2 linked regions of the Mytilus edulis genome follow. The protein of the gene in region 2 interacts with the protein of the main gene of each other region in a biochemical or structural test. Links are inferred from orthologs where the notes say so. Each region holds a gene or a part of one and is shown on either strand. Other genes may lie near its edges.

Evidence for each region.
Region 1: the proteins of RAD51-associated protein 1-like (region 2) and meiotic recombination protein DMC1/LIM15 homolog form a complex in vitro, tested with the Homo sapiens proteins (2 studies listed by BioGRID and IntAct). The link is inferred for Mytilus edulis from reciprocal best matches to the Homo sapiens genes RAD51AP1 and DMC1.

Annotation. Positions count from the first base shown.
Region 1 is NC_092352.1:86,755,313-86,762,877, reverse strand, and holds the start of meiotic recombination protein DMC1/LIM15 homolog, read left to right. Parts: upstream 1-4,562; 5' UTR 4,563-4,675; exon of another isoform or gene 4,676-4,717; intron 4,718-5,607; 5' UTR 5,608-5,615; coding exon 5,616-5,675; intron 5,676-6,326; coding exon 6,327-6,371; intron 6,372-7,118; coding exon 7,119-7,169; intron 7,170-7,313; coding exon 7,314-7,409; intron 7,410-7,565. Other genes in the region: NHP2-like protein 1, read right to left, coding at 628-731, 1,314-1,431, 4,428-4,430. UniProt on the Homo sapiens protein: Participates in meiotic recombination, specifically in homologous strand assimilation, which is required for the resolution of meiotic double-strand breaks.
Region 2 is NC_092350.1:13,501,451-13,509,271, forward strand, and holds the start of RAD51-associated protein 1-like, read right to left. Parts: upstream 3,024-7,821; 5' UTR 2,943-3,023; coding exon 2,920-2,942; intron 1-2,919. UniProt on the Homo sapiens protein: Structure-specific DNA-binding protein involved in DNA repair by promoting RAD51-mediated homologous recombination.

The DNA of each region.
Region 1 (7,565 bases), on a different chromosome or scaffold from region 2:
ATATTACTACCAATGCCATCACTGTTTTGGGAAAATGTAAAACTTTTTGGGAGGAATTTTAAGTTTTTTTTTTTTAGTAATTGGGAATTTTCTCCAGGGGAAAAGGCAGAATTTCGGCTGTAATTTGAGGCAAACAATATCACTGACATGTGGCCAAGTCTGACTTTATACAAAAAATTGGAAAGCAATACTATCCATAATGGAAATTCTTAAACATTTTAAATGTACTTTTTTTCTTATGAAACACCCCCTACATTTATCCCTGCTCAGTTTAGTGGCTGAGATCATCATTTTCAATTGTTACTATTTGTACTGCATCATTCTTTAAGTGTCTGTAGTTAAATTCTTGTCTTTGGTTCATGTCTGTCAAATTGATCTTTCTTAAATTGTTTTGTTATAAATTAAAAAAGTTTTTTCTAGTGAATGTTTTGCACTTTCATGTATGGGCCTTTTCAACCAGACATTATATAGTATGGGGTGTTGTGGCAGGTTGTACGGTGGCCTACAATAATGTACATCCAATTCATTTGAATTTTGATATTTACAAATGTTATTGTCTAATTGGGAATCATAACTTATCTCCTTATTCATACAACACAATTGTACACAAGAAGATGTACTTTTTACCTTGTCTTCACACAGTAAAGGAAGATGTAACAAAATCTCCAAAGGTTCAGCATCTGCAGCCATCACAATAAACTCTGAAATTCCTCTGTTTAAGGTCTTTGTGGCTGTAAACAAATACAGTAAATTAAAACTAACTCAGCAAGGAAAATTTTGTCATCTATTTAAAGTATTCTTACCATTTTTTAGTTTGATAGTATTCTCACAGTATTGTTATAGTTGCCAATAGGCTTTGAAATTTTGATTGTACAAGTTATCAAGTTTATTCATGATCTTATTTGAATTTTCTATTTTTGCCAATCTATGCTTTTAATATAATTTCAGGCATTTAAAAAAGTACTATACGAGTATCAGATATGACATTTAGTCATTTAAAAAAAAAGACAATATCTTTTTATTTCATTCAAATTTTCTATACCATATTTGAAAAACAGAGATAGAGTTATCTCAGTTATACATGTATTTTTTTCACTTTTAAGCTAGATTTGAGTGTCTTTCAAATGGATACATGTGCACAAGTTTGTACATGTATAGCACATGAAAAATACCAAATACAATGCTTTGCATTTCTTTGTTCTTCATTTGTTTTCAGAATTTTTTCGAATGTTTTCATGAAGGAAGATGTATACAAACACAATAAGATTTGACCAATGGAAGGTTTAGATATTGGCTTTTATGATTGATTATACCTTCATTGGCTCCTTTCCTCAATTCTTTACAGCTGGCTGCCTTCTGTACCAAGTCCAATATTTTCTGAGTTAAGTTTGGATCAGCTAATGGATAAGCTTTAGGATTTACTTCTTCAGTCTGAAATAAAAATACAAATATATTAACATTAAGTAACAGATGCCATGTATGGCAGAAAAATGTTGAATTTATATTTATCTTTTATCCATTTTGCGCTTTCTTATTTAAGGTCTATAATAAGGATTTTTGAGTGTATGCCATGTGTATTCAATTCAAAATATTTTAGGCACTGGCTACGGTTACATGGAAATGTAACAATAATAAAAATATTATTGTTACATTGGAGACTAAATGCCGGAATTCAAAGTCGGATAAGGAACCGATTAATTACGAATGTAACAATAATTATTGAGGCTACGGTTACATTGCGTTATTGTTACATGAAAAACAGCAATGTACGCTCGATTTATTAAACTTAAATCTTCTATGGTTTAACGGTTGCCTTAATCTTGCATCTGTACGAAATAATACTTGTAATAATGATAAGTAATAAATATTATCGATTAACAAATGGTGTTTAAATTGGTCTTTTTAACGTATAAATGGTCACATTTGGTGTTTTAAAGATACTACTTTAGATAAGTAGTGCCAAAGGCGAAAATATAGTCCAATGATTTGTTGTTGAGAACTCGGGCTGAGAAAAGTGTTCACTTTAGTTTAAGTATTTAACTGCACACCTACTCGTATAACTGTCATTTTACTTTACACAATGGATGAAGAGATTCCTGTGACCAATTTTGTTTTGGGTGAACAATTTAAAACTTGGGATTCGTTTGAAACAAAACTGAAACAATATCAAGACACAAATTTCATTCAGCTATACAAACACAGTTCTAAAAAAAATGATTCATCTATAGCAAAGTTTGCTAACTGTGAAGTAAAATACTGTGAACTTCTGTATACATGTATCCACGGAGGACGTAATGTCGTTTCAAAATCAGATGGAGCTCGTCCAAACCAAAGGTAAGTTAAGTTTAACCTATAAACGAATATCAATGGGTCATTATATTCATGCGAGATTGCGTCGTTGGATTGCCCAAAAGTACGAAGAGAGTCATGCCGTTTCTTAAAAGACGACCAAAGGAAAAAGAAGAAGGTAAATAACTTTTTAAAAAAATGGACAGTTGATATACCCCCAGTTTTTGATAGGGTTCGTGTTTCTTAGTCTGTAGTTTTCCATGTTGTGTTTTTTTTACTTTTATTTGTATGTTTTGCCTTTTTACTTTTTAGCCATGGCGATGTCAGTTTGAATAATGGAAAATAATTCACTATTTATTAGTATTTGATGAACTTTTGACTTTTGACTTGCATTTTTATAATTTATTGTTTTTTTCAGCTATGCTAAGTTGGATACTGAAATCCGAGGTAAACCTTACATCCGTAATGGACGGCAATGTGACCATACTGAAAGATGACATAAAACTACATCACATGTTTCCAACCAAAATATTAGATGAGAATATAAACATTGCTAGAGTGAAAAAGTATTTCTCATCGGAAGCATGGCAAACATGAAAGGTTGCCTTATCATCAAAACGGGATATCGCAGAATGGAACTGTACAGTGTGTGATACGGACGTTCACAGTGCGGCATCACTGGTGTGTGATGGCTGCTTGGAGTGGTTTCACCAAAAATGTGTCGGACTTAGAAATGCTCCAAAAACCACTTACTGGATATGTAGAAAATGTCATTGCAAATAAATAATTAAAGAATTTATATTTAATAATTGTATTTATTAAATGATATGAGCAAATAAGCCCTAATACGGATAAATCAGCATGTGCAATACTAAAAACGTTCCACTGTCGATATAAATCAAGAGTTAATATTGCTCTTCGAACAGGGCCAATACAGAAAAAAGCGGGAAAAAAGTCGTATTAGCCCTAGGGCAATACAGGACGTTCACTTCCGGTTTTCAATTTTCTTACGCCATTACTTTACTCTTGAAGTATCGTTATGCATAAAAACATTTGTATAATAATTTTTAAATTAAAGTCATAAAATAAACAGGTTAAATGATGTGCAATGTTTTGTAATGTCTTAATGTTTTCAAACGGAAAAAACAGGGCAAATACAGAAAAAAGCGGGAAAAAAGCTGTATTGGCCCATGGGCTAATACGGGACGTTCACTTCCGGTTTTTAATTCTCTTATAATCATTTAATAAAAGTGTTATGAACTGGCTGTTTCTGTATTGGCACTGGTATAGATTCTCGGTCAGCTGTATTGGCCCTCGACCCTACAGGTCTCGAGGCCAATACAGCAAACCTTGAATCTATACCAGTGCCAATACAGAAACAGCCAGTTAATAACACTATAGTATTGTAAATATAAAATAAATGTCTTTTTTATTATCTTGTACATTTTAATAGACCCATCGTATATTGCTGTTTTTCGTGTAACAATAACGCAATGTAACCGTAGCCTCAGTAATTATTGTTACATTCGTAATTAATCGGTTCCTTACCCGACTTTGCGTTTCGGCATTTAGTCTCCAATGTAACAATAATATTATTATTATTGTTACATTTCCATGTAACCGTAGCCAGTGCCAATATTTTATTGTTCAAATATCAAATGTACATTTAAACAAAGGGATTGGACAAAAGGCAGTGCCTATACAAATCCTTTCCCATACAAGATGGATTGAATAACATGCATGATAGTATATAATTTTCTGATAAGTTAATAGATCATACCATGTGTATGCTGAGGTCATCATTCGAAAAGGCCTCAGGTATTAAAGATTGACATGTCATTGGTATTATTAAATTAATAATTAAATGAGCTACCTTTGTTATATCAAGCTTTATTGTTATTATTATATGGTTATGGACATTATACTTTGGGAACGCCAGTTAATAACTTTCTTTTTTTAATGCTACCTCTGAAAGAAAGTATACCATACGACCCCCCTTTTTTTTTATTAACAAATCATTTATCAATCTTTTCAAGGTTGAAATGCGCCTTTTGGTTGATGTTTTCTATTACAAATAAAATTTCAATTCAAGCATATTAAGGTTGTGACAAAAATACTATATTGTAAAGGTGTTTTACCATGATTGTTGTTCAAAATATTCCCTCGGCTGAAAGCTTCACTGGGCCTCGTGGTAATGTTTTCGTTTGTGCCTCGTGTTAAAAACCGGATGTTGATTTAACAATCGACGTATTTAAAGGGTTTATTGTTACGGACTTAAAATAAATATACAAACATTTTAAAGACGTCGATTATCTCGCACGTGTTAGCAGACGACAAGTTTTGTAGCAGAAAGAGCAAGTTGGTAACTGGCGTGCAGAAGAACTATGTAAGAAAGTTTATGACTGTTCTAGTTTTCCCATACTTCAAGGTTTTTGTAAATCTGAATAGTTGAGAGCTAAGCATCAACTTCATGAATAACCTTTTTTTAACCTAGTTTATATATTATTAAACACTGTGCTTGTCAAGTTGTTGTATTCTTCTACTTGTCTTAATAAATATTTTTTATAACATTGACATTGTGTCTTAATCATATAATTGAATCACTTGTGTAATCATTTGTATGTAATTAATGTTGATTGTTCTGCTCCTTGTGGGTGCTTTGATTAGCAATGAAATATATTTGACAGTGGCGGATCCAGAACTTGACCTAAGGGGGGCCCGCTAACTGACCTAAAAGGGGGGTGGCGATCCAGTCATGCTTCAGTGATTACCTATATAATCAACCAAATTTTTTCCACGAAAAGGGAGGGGGGGTGTGTGTTCCAACCACATGTCCTAATTCAAATGCATTGATCGTCCAAAAAAAAGGGGGGTTCCAACCCTCAACACACACCCTCGATCTGCCACTGCTTTGCATTGGCAAAAGCCAATTTTGTCTAGTATAGAACCATTCTACGATTGACAAAGGGAAGTAATTTTTGTGATTTGAGGCTATAGAATTTGTTTTGTTTGATAAATAAACATTAAAAATTTAAACAACACTAATTACAATGTTTTATATGAATTATCTCCCTTACATTGCTTTTAGATTATGTCTTACTTGATTTATTTCACTTGACTGGGCGGAGTTAAAACGGTGCGTTCATCATTGACCAGTCCATCTACTGATAGGTGTTTTGGAATAAACTCATCAATGAAGTGTCCAGTTTGGTCATTGTTAATTTGTTTGGTGACACTGATAGTGATTAGAAATCAATGATAATTATAACGCTGTAATTATTGAAGAGATTTTGAAAAAATCGAGATTTTTTTTTATAGAGAAAATCATGCAGCAGGAAGACCAGGTTGTTGAAGAAGAATTAGTTGTGAATGAAGATGATGAAGAGGTATGGCTCCTTGCATTGAGTAACAACTCTTTGAAATTAGTTTAACCATATTATTTACTCTCTCTGCAAACTCTAGTCCAGTCTCTTTATTTATTTTTATTGGAATAACAATAAACAAATATTAAAATATAATTTATGAGTTTTCCCTTGGAAAAAATGTGTTGGCTGCTACCGTACCTACATTTGTACAAATGATTTACATTTAAAATGTTTTGGTATAAGAAATTCCTAGTGTCACAATTGCTTGTGTCAAAAAATGAAATAGCAGGTGCACCACTTTAATTGTGGAGAATTTGTGCAAGTATAGTAGAAGTCTATTAATCTGTTTTCAAGGACATATTAACATAAAATGAGATGCAAATGATGACAAGGCAACGCTCACTCAGCTGATAGATGTGATCAGTATTTTTCACCTATAGACCTACAGTGATGTTACATTTATACATATTTGTTCTTATATATATAAGGAGTGCACTCTAATGGTTGAGCTGAAAATGTAGAGAAAATTCAAATCAACAGTACAGGTTATAACATGCCAGAAGACAGTTTCAATTAATATTATGTTCTTCAGCTTCCTATTTCTTTTAGAATGATAGCTAGTACGTCCCAGTTGAGGGGAGTGTTTATGTCGTTAATCATTTACTATTTCAGGAATCACTTTTCCAGGACATAGATCTTCTGCAGAATCATGGAATTGTAAGTCTTAACTGATATAAGTCATTTAATATAGAATAGTTGATATATATTATAGCTAGCACCATTTATCAAGGTTATAGTGCTTAAAAGGGGGATGGGCATCTTAATTGTTAACAACAGCTATAATCCAAATACTGTTAATTCAGGATGTTCCCAGTTGGAAAATGTATAGAAAAGTTTAAAGTTGCGTTTGTACAAGAACAATAATGTGTACTCTATTACAATATCAGAAATTTTATATGATTTTACATTCATCCTATAGTCAAAACATATTTAGATGGTCTCCAAACTAGTTTTGCTACTCTGAATTTCAAGAAGAGGTAATTTTTCTTATCTAGGTTCAAACTACATCTCAGTCTTTTTCTCTGACATGTGTACAAGTATTTTGTAATCACAAAAGACGATTGAGGTAGAAAGATTTTACTGCTGAGCACAGTTCAATGTTTGAAATGGATGTAAACAGTATAGGTGCCTTAGAAAATATGTTAGATTTTATATGGAGTTTTTTTTTTTATTATTCTCTGCTTTAGTAAAACAGATGAAGGAATGGAACCAATATATTCCAAACCTTTTTTCAATGTGAATTGTTAGAAAGGAAATTGGGGTATGCGTCAAAGAGACATCAACTCGCCCAAATTGCAAACCACAGCCCACAACCAACAATGGGTCTTCAAAGCAGCAAGGAAATCCCATCCAAACTTTGTGTCATTTATATTTGCATCATTTAATTATTTTTTTAATTTATAGAATGTAGCTGACATAAAGAAACTGAAGCAAGTGGGAATATGTACCATAAAGGCAAGTATTGTATAAACTTTAAGTACTACTTCGTTATTTATTATCAAATCTCAAACAATAGCAAGTGCATTATATTGTACCTTTTATCTCTTCATACTTTTTTGAAATTTTAACCATTAAATATGCAAAATTGTATTATTACAGGGAATCCAAATGACCACAAAGAAAAGACTTTGTGCTGTAAAAGGAATTTCTGAAGCAAAAATGGAAAAAATCAAAGAAGCTGCAAATAAGCTCTGTGTATGTATTAACCTACTGTCATCATCCTAATATATTTTCCCAAACTAGTTCTCCCTGTTTTAAGAATAAAATATATATAAGTAGGGAACATAGTTACACCAGAAAAAGATTAAAGTCTGGCATTAATTTTCAAAGGAGTGAGTTGGTCCAGTTGAA
Region 2 (7,821 bases):
GAAAATAAAAAACTAACATAAAAAAAAATGAAATTTCTTTGATTTTTTTTTTCTTTCTTTAATTTCATACATAAATAATGGTCATTTGAAAGATGAAATTAGGTGCCAGGAGATTGTGAGAATGCAGGATTTTGCTCTATTTATGTCAGAGCTTCTGGGGGCCTTGAGCTGCCCCCAGACCCCCTGCCGTAAGGCACCAAGCTTACAGCTTGGTGGCCGTCCGGCTTCGCCGAACGCATGTTACAGCCGCCTATAATTTTAATTGAGCCTTCTACTTCAATTTCAATGGAAAGCCCTGCTTGAGTGAAGCATTCGATCACTTGAGACTTATAGGACATTTCCGTTTTTTCTGGACAAAATTGGAAAATTAATGATGGTTCTGTAGGACTCATGTAGGACTAGGTGGTTGAAAAAAATTTCAGAGTAACTGTAGGGTTACACTAATGTCCTGACAAAGTCCTGACAGAAATGTAAATGCTTAATACTTTTTTGTTATTGGAAGGATTTACTTGAAATTTGGAATCAAGCAAGATGAGAACTTGTATTTAATAAATAAAATAAAAAAATAAAAAAATAAATAATTTAAGACTTAGAAAACTTGACCTGACCAACTTGACTTCGAAAATACTATTGTCCTGACCGATATGAAACGGCTAAAAAATAATTTATTATTGACAGGATAGACTTCAAATTCGATATTAAGGAAGATTAAATCATTTATTACAAAAATATAAGAAAAAAAAAATAAAAAAAAAATAATTTTAAGAGTTAGAAAACTTGACCTGACCAACCACGTCCAACCGTGACTAATGTCCTGACCGATATAAAACTGGTAATTTATTTCTTAAATTCCGTCGGATTGACTTCATATTTGACACAAGACAAGAAAGTAACATTGAGTAAATACTTATTTGAAAAGAATTGGGGGAAAAATACTTAAGAGGTAAGAAAACTTGACCTGACGAACATCGACTTTGTTGTGAGTAAATGTCCTGACCGATATGAAAGTGCTAATACTTGCAACATTGTTGGTATGATTGAGTGCTTAATTGAAACTAAGTCAAATTGTAACATTTTTATTTTTATACTTGTTCCAATAAATTGGAAATAAAATATTTCAATGGAAATAAATACTTTAAAAAGACTGAACCCCTTAAACTTAATACACAAACAACAACATTATTAGTTCTTACCTTATATTGTTATTGAATTTATTTATTTCCTATCCATAAAATACAACATCCAAAGCAAATAAATTTTGTTAAATGAAAAGATAGGGGAAATATGAGTTGCTGAGTGACTGTGAGTATTGTTTACCCCTTTGTTTCACAAATCTACTTCTTATTATAAATTTGATTAATAACTCAGAGTGAATAATGAAACTAATTATTGAATTAATAAACTCAATTAAAAATTATAAAAATGTATAGTGATTAGCTACCTATTGATTTTAATAAATAAGTAAATTGAAAGTTTTTTTTTCTTTCTTGGTGCAATAACTCAGTTAAAAAAAAATGTATTAAAATAAAGGCAAAGGAAGGTGACAATAATCAATAGAATTAAAACACACCTATATTAATTACTATAATCACAATTTGAAATGTTTTCTTTACAATCAATAAGTTATTTTTTGTTTTATCTAGTTATTGAGTGATTATACATGTCATATAAAAGCAGGAAATGGGCTTCGTTTTGTTTGAAAAGGATGTGTATACAAGCATATACATTAATATTATATTGGAATCACAAAGAAATACAATAAATTAACACACAAGTTCAAGTTCATAATTAATTAATTGGATTAACAAATAAGTGATTAATCTTATCATCACAAGCCCCTAATCAGATTGACTAATAGAGCAATAAGAGAATGTTAACATGAATAAACAATACTCACATTCAGCAACTGCAACTGGGCCTAACATTTTTCTTTCATTCATTTTAACTGTATCTTTCGTGTTCAATGTTGTTTTTCATATTATTGTGATCGGATATTTTAATTTCACTAATTTAAGGTAAGAGGTTAACATGTTAGAAAATTTATCAAGTCCTACAGTGGTCAGGTCAATATTATTTACCCTTGCAATAATTGTTAACTTTTTTCTTTTAGTCATTTAAAAATTTAATAAGATAATGATAGTTTTCAAACTTAAAGACATTTATTTAAGTAATTAACATAGTCATTCTATTTTTTAAAGATACATGCCTTTTTTCGGTGAATAGCCTATGTTGGTCAGGTCAAGTTTTTTGGTCTTTTCAACATTTTTTTTCTTTTTATTTCTTTTGATTTCTTTGTTAAATGTTGCAAACTTCTTAACTACTCAATTTGAATTCATTCATTACAATAACAAAATAGATAGAATCATTTTTATATCGATCCGGACATGAGTCACGGCAAAGGTGTAGTTGGTCAGGTCAAGTTTTCTAACTCTTAAAAAAATTTTTTTTCTTTTTTTTCCTGATATTTTTGTAATAAATGATTTAATCTTCCTTGGTATCGAATTTGAAGTCTATCCTGTCAATAATAAATTATTTTTTAGCCGTTTCATATCGGTCAGGACAATAGTATTTTCTAAGTCAAGTTGGTCAGGTCAAGTTTTCTAAGTCTTAAATTATTTTTTTTTAATTTTTTTAATTTTATTTATTAAATACAAGTTCTCATCTTGCTTGATTCCAAATTTCAAGTAAATCCTTCCAATAACAAAAAAGTATTAAGCATTTACATTTCTGTCAGGACTTTGTCAGGACATTGTCAGGACATTGTCAGGACATTAGTGTAACCCGTAACTGTAAAGTAAACAGATAAAAATTCGGTTATGATGAAAAATAATTAAGCAACACCCTTTGAAATAGCTACTATTACAGAATTCGTCCCTTTTATTGGTTAAACTCCTCTCACACTAATTATCGTATATTAACCTCGCAGGTCTTCTATCTGACATTTTGCATTTTCAATGTTTATAAATATTTCAATTTCCCTCCTCATACGCCGGAACTTGAAATGAATCACTGTTTCGAATTACAAAATTGTAAATGATTACTATTTTTTGTTTGATTGAAATAAAAAATAGTTTTTAAAAATAATTGGTTATTTTTTGGACTGTTTATACTAACATTTTCTTTGCAATTAAATTTTTGATATTTTCGAATCCGGGTTAAACACTCGGACGTGGGCAAACTTTGTTTAGAAGATCGAAAATTAGATGTCCACTGATTATTTAGGCAGTTCTGAAAAGTCAGAAAACGGCCAAAGTATAAGTCTGTATTAACAACTCCAACAGACAATAGTTTCCTCACTTTAACTTTATAAAGGTGTGTATAATTTATAAAAACAAAAAGGGGGTTGGTAAAGCAAAAAAGGAGGGGGCGGATCTGTGTCTGAGCGAGAAGTGATACCCCGAAATTCCGACAGTTAAGTAGTCTGTCAGTCCGATATTCCGTCGGTCCATTAGTCCAATGATCCGATACAACAACAGTGCGATGGTATAACATGGAGGCGTGATGTGTAAAGCCAAAAGAATGTGGATATCGTCTTCATATCAGAGGGGCAGCAGTGGCGGATCCAGCCATTTTAAAAGGGGGGTTCCAACTATATGCTCCCATTCAAATGCATTGATCGACCAAAAAAAAAAGGGGTTCCAACCCCCGGAAACCCCCCCCCCCCCCCCCTTGATCTGCCACTGAGCCGACCATTTCGGTGTTTTTAAGATCGGGATCAGGATCTGAGAATTCTCTTTTTGAATTTCAGGATGTCTGGATTTAAATTTCTTTAAATTAAGGACCTCGATATTTCATGTTTTCAAACCAGAAATTTCAGGATCAGTACCCCTCCGACCCTCCCCCCATCATATAAGCTTGTATATATTATTAGTATACTGTCAAAACACGAGAAGTGTTTAAATTGAAAAAGTGGAATGCATTGTAATAGGATCCAATAGACCACTTTCGAGTTCATCCGTCACCGGCAAAAACTCGTCAATTATGCACGCCTTTATGACGTCATTTACCAGATAGAGGGGGTCGCCTGTATCCCTGCACTATTTACGTTCATCAAGCGTCTTAGTGATCGTCTTTGTGCAGGATAAACTAGAAATAATGGTTGCTCTGTAGGTACTTACTGACAATTCCCTAATGACAGCAGTGTTGATTGTCAATTTTGAGAATTCAATTTGCCGAATAATTCGTATAATATAGAATTATAGTTTTCCAACCACTCGCTCAACATTGGAAGGGAAGTGACGACGCCCCAAAACGCACAAATGACGGTGATAAAAGGGCGTATAATTGACGAGTTTTTTCCGGTGACGGATGAACTCGAAAGTGGTCTATTAAATCCTCTTCTATATATATGAAGAATGACTGTTTGCATACAAGTACATGCGCTTGCATGTTACGTATTATGTTACGTATTATGTTACGTATTATGTGGTTGAATGTGAAATGTCACATGTATAAGATGTACATGTAGGCTTCTCATATCTGAGGGGTGTTAGGCCCAAAGATATGAGACAACTTGGACATTGGATTGATTTACATTGAAGTAGAAGACAGAACTTATTCACACACTGACACAGCAGTCAAAGCAGATAGTCCCTGGTTCCATTCTGACCCTCGTTGCGAGAGTTTTCATCAATTTACCCTTCTTCTCACATCTCTGGTACCAAGACCAAAGTAAAAACTTGGGGCTGTAATAACAACCACAGTTGAGTTTTTTTTAATTTTTTTTTTATATAAATAAGGGAAGTTACAAGGATGAGGAAGGTAACGAAGTCACCTATGCATAAGTATTAACTACATGATAACAATTGAATGATGTTACAGGGGCCTCAGACATGGAAATCAATCATCTAGTATGAGGTACATAATACTTCATAATTAACTTCTATATGTTAAAGATAACAATGGAGGGTTGTGCACCTCCTAACCCTGTCATACTCTGTGTGTGCCTGTCCCAAGTAAGGAGCCTGTAATAGGCTACTTTTAAGTAATGTCCCTCACCAGAAAAACTTGTGCTTCATGACATTATTTCCTAGAAAGAGGGCATTGCCTGAATCCCTGCACTATTAAATTTCATCAAGCATATTTGTGATCGTCATTATGCAGGATAAACTAGAAATAACATATGTTCTGTATCATAGTTTCCTATTGACAGCAGTGCGGATTATCAATTATAATAATATAGGGTTATTGCATGAATATTGGGGAATATTGTCCCGAGTAGAATTTTATATTGCACGAGCTTGCGAGTGCAATATATGTTCTACGAGGGACAATATTCCCCAATATTCATGCAATAACCCTTTTATTGTATAGCAATATAATATTTGAAAGGAAAAATTGGTTTAAACTAAGATTTTGTCATTGATGACGTCATGAATTTTGAATATTTATTGCACTAGTGCAATATTAGAATTTATTGCATGCTAACTTTTGGTTACTTTCTGTTGGAAATATTATATTGCTATACAATAAATTAAAATTATAGAATGATTGGTGCAATGTATTTAAAAAAAAGCATCATATTTTTCAATCACTTGCTCAACATGGGAAAGAAATGGCAAAGCTGCTGAATGCATGATTGATGTTCATTAAAACCAATTTTTTTTTAGAGAATTGCCACAAACTCAGATCACAAGTTGTCTTTTCAGTGGTTGTCTTTTGCTGTTGTATATTGTATTAGTATTTCATTCAAGTCTATGCAGTATGGGCTTTGCTGATTGTTGACCGCTGTTAAGGCTGTATGGTGACCTATAATGTTAACATCTATGTCATTTAGTCTCTAGTGGGGAGTTGTCTGTTGGGTTCATTATAGTAATCTAATCTTAATCATGCATGGGATATATTCTGGACACCTGATGAAGACAATTTGTCACCTTTTTTTTAAAGGACATTTTTTATGTCTCATATGTAAAATAAACGTAAATGTATAAGGCAGTACATCAAATTTATTCTACAAAAGCAGGAAAGACATGCAATTCTGAGTATCATTCCACTTCCTAAAAATCATTTTTTTTATTTTTCAGATTTTTATGTAGATTTGATAATATTCATTTAATCAATAATGGATAATGAGTCAGAAAAAATGGTAAGAATTTTATATATAAGCCCAAGACAAAATGGGGATGAAATAAAGTTAATTGGATGGACCCATACATGTAGCTAAAACTACTTGATAATGTTACCCAAGCCATTAAAGTGAAGATGTGTCTTAGCTTCTTAGGTCTAAAGATTTCTGCATTTATTCCTCAAAATGTTAGCCATATTTGCAGTGGTGTATTCAGTCATTTTCTAAAGTTGAAGGATACAATTTATAATTTTAAAATATTAAATCAAACAATAACATAATTTTATATGAAAATGATAAAATTCTCAGTGATCCTAAAGAGGTATCAGAAATTTTCAATAAATTTTTCATAAATGTGGCTAAAGATATAGGAGACAAAAACATTAAAATAGACAGAAATCATCCAAGTATAATAAAAATTGAAGAAAATAAAAATGATTATAATGAGTTGAATTTTAAACCTGTAGCAGAAGAGTTTGTGAGTAAACAAATAAATAGGTTAAATATAAGAAAAGCCACTGGATATGACAATATTTCACCAAAAATTATAAAATTGGCACAGCCAGTAATAGCAAATCCTATTAAAATTTTAGTTAATAAATCAATTGAAAGCTCAATTTTTCCTGATAATCTTAAAGCTGCTCAGGTTTCCCCACTTTTTAAAAAGAATAACTCTCTTGATAAAGAAAATTATAGACCTGTAAGTGTGTTGCCATGTATTTCTAAAATTTATGAAAGAGCTATTCATGACCAACTATTAAATGGAATTCTTAAATAAACATTTTCATCCTCTTCTTTCGGCATTTAGGTCAGGTTTTGGTTGCCAAACTGCACTTATTAAAATAATAGAAGACTGGAAAAAAGCTCTGGACGAGAACAAATTTATTGCTGCAATTTTGATGGATCTATCTAAAGCATTTGATTGTTTACCTCATGATTTACTTTTACTTAAATTAGAAGCATACGGTCTGTCTAAAAATTCTCTAAAAATTATTAAAAAGTTATTTAGAAAACCGAAAACAATGAATTAAAATTGGAAGTTCTTCAGCGAATGGGACCGTATTTTTAAAGGCGTACCACAAGGGTCAATTCTTGGTCCAGTTCTTTTCAATGTCTTCATAAATGACATATTTCATTTTGTTCAAAAAAGCACCATTTATAATTATGCTGATGAAAACACTGTATCATACAGTGATCATAATTTAGATAAAGTTGTTGAAAGTTTAGAAACTGATAGTTTAAATCTAATAAACTGGTTTTCTTTAAATTTAATGAAGGCTAATCCTGACAAATTCCAGGCTATAGCCATTGGGAAAAAAACAAATAAACATAATTTGATATTTAATTTAAATGGAAATAAAATTTCTTGTGAAAAAAATGTTAAACTTCTTGGAATAACTATAGATTCGGACTTAAATTTTAACAATCATATTTCTGAAATATGTAAAAAGGCATCAAGACAATTAAATATTCTAAAACGTATGGGTAAATATTTAAACAGGCTAGGTAGGTTAACAGCATACTACTCATTCATACTTTCGAACTTTAACTATTGTCCAGTAATTTGGCACTACTGTAGTGAAAAAAATTCTTTTAAAATGGAAAAAATTCAAGAAAGAGCTCTAAGATTCATTTATGAAGATTATGATATTCCTTACGAAAAATTGCTAGAAAAATCTAAATTACCATCTTTAAAAATAAGAAGAATAAAAACAATTGCAATAGAAACATTTAAAATAATTCACCAAAAAAGTCCG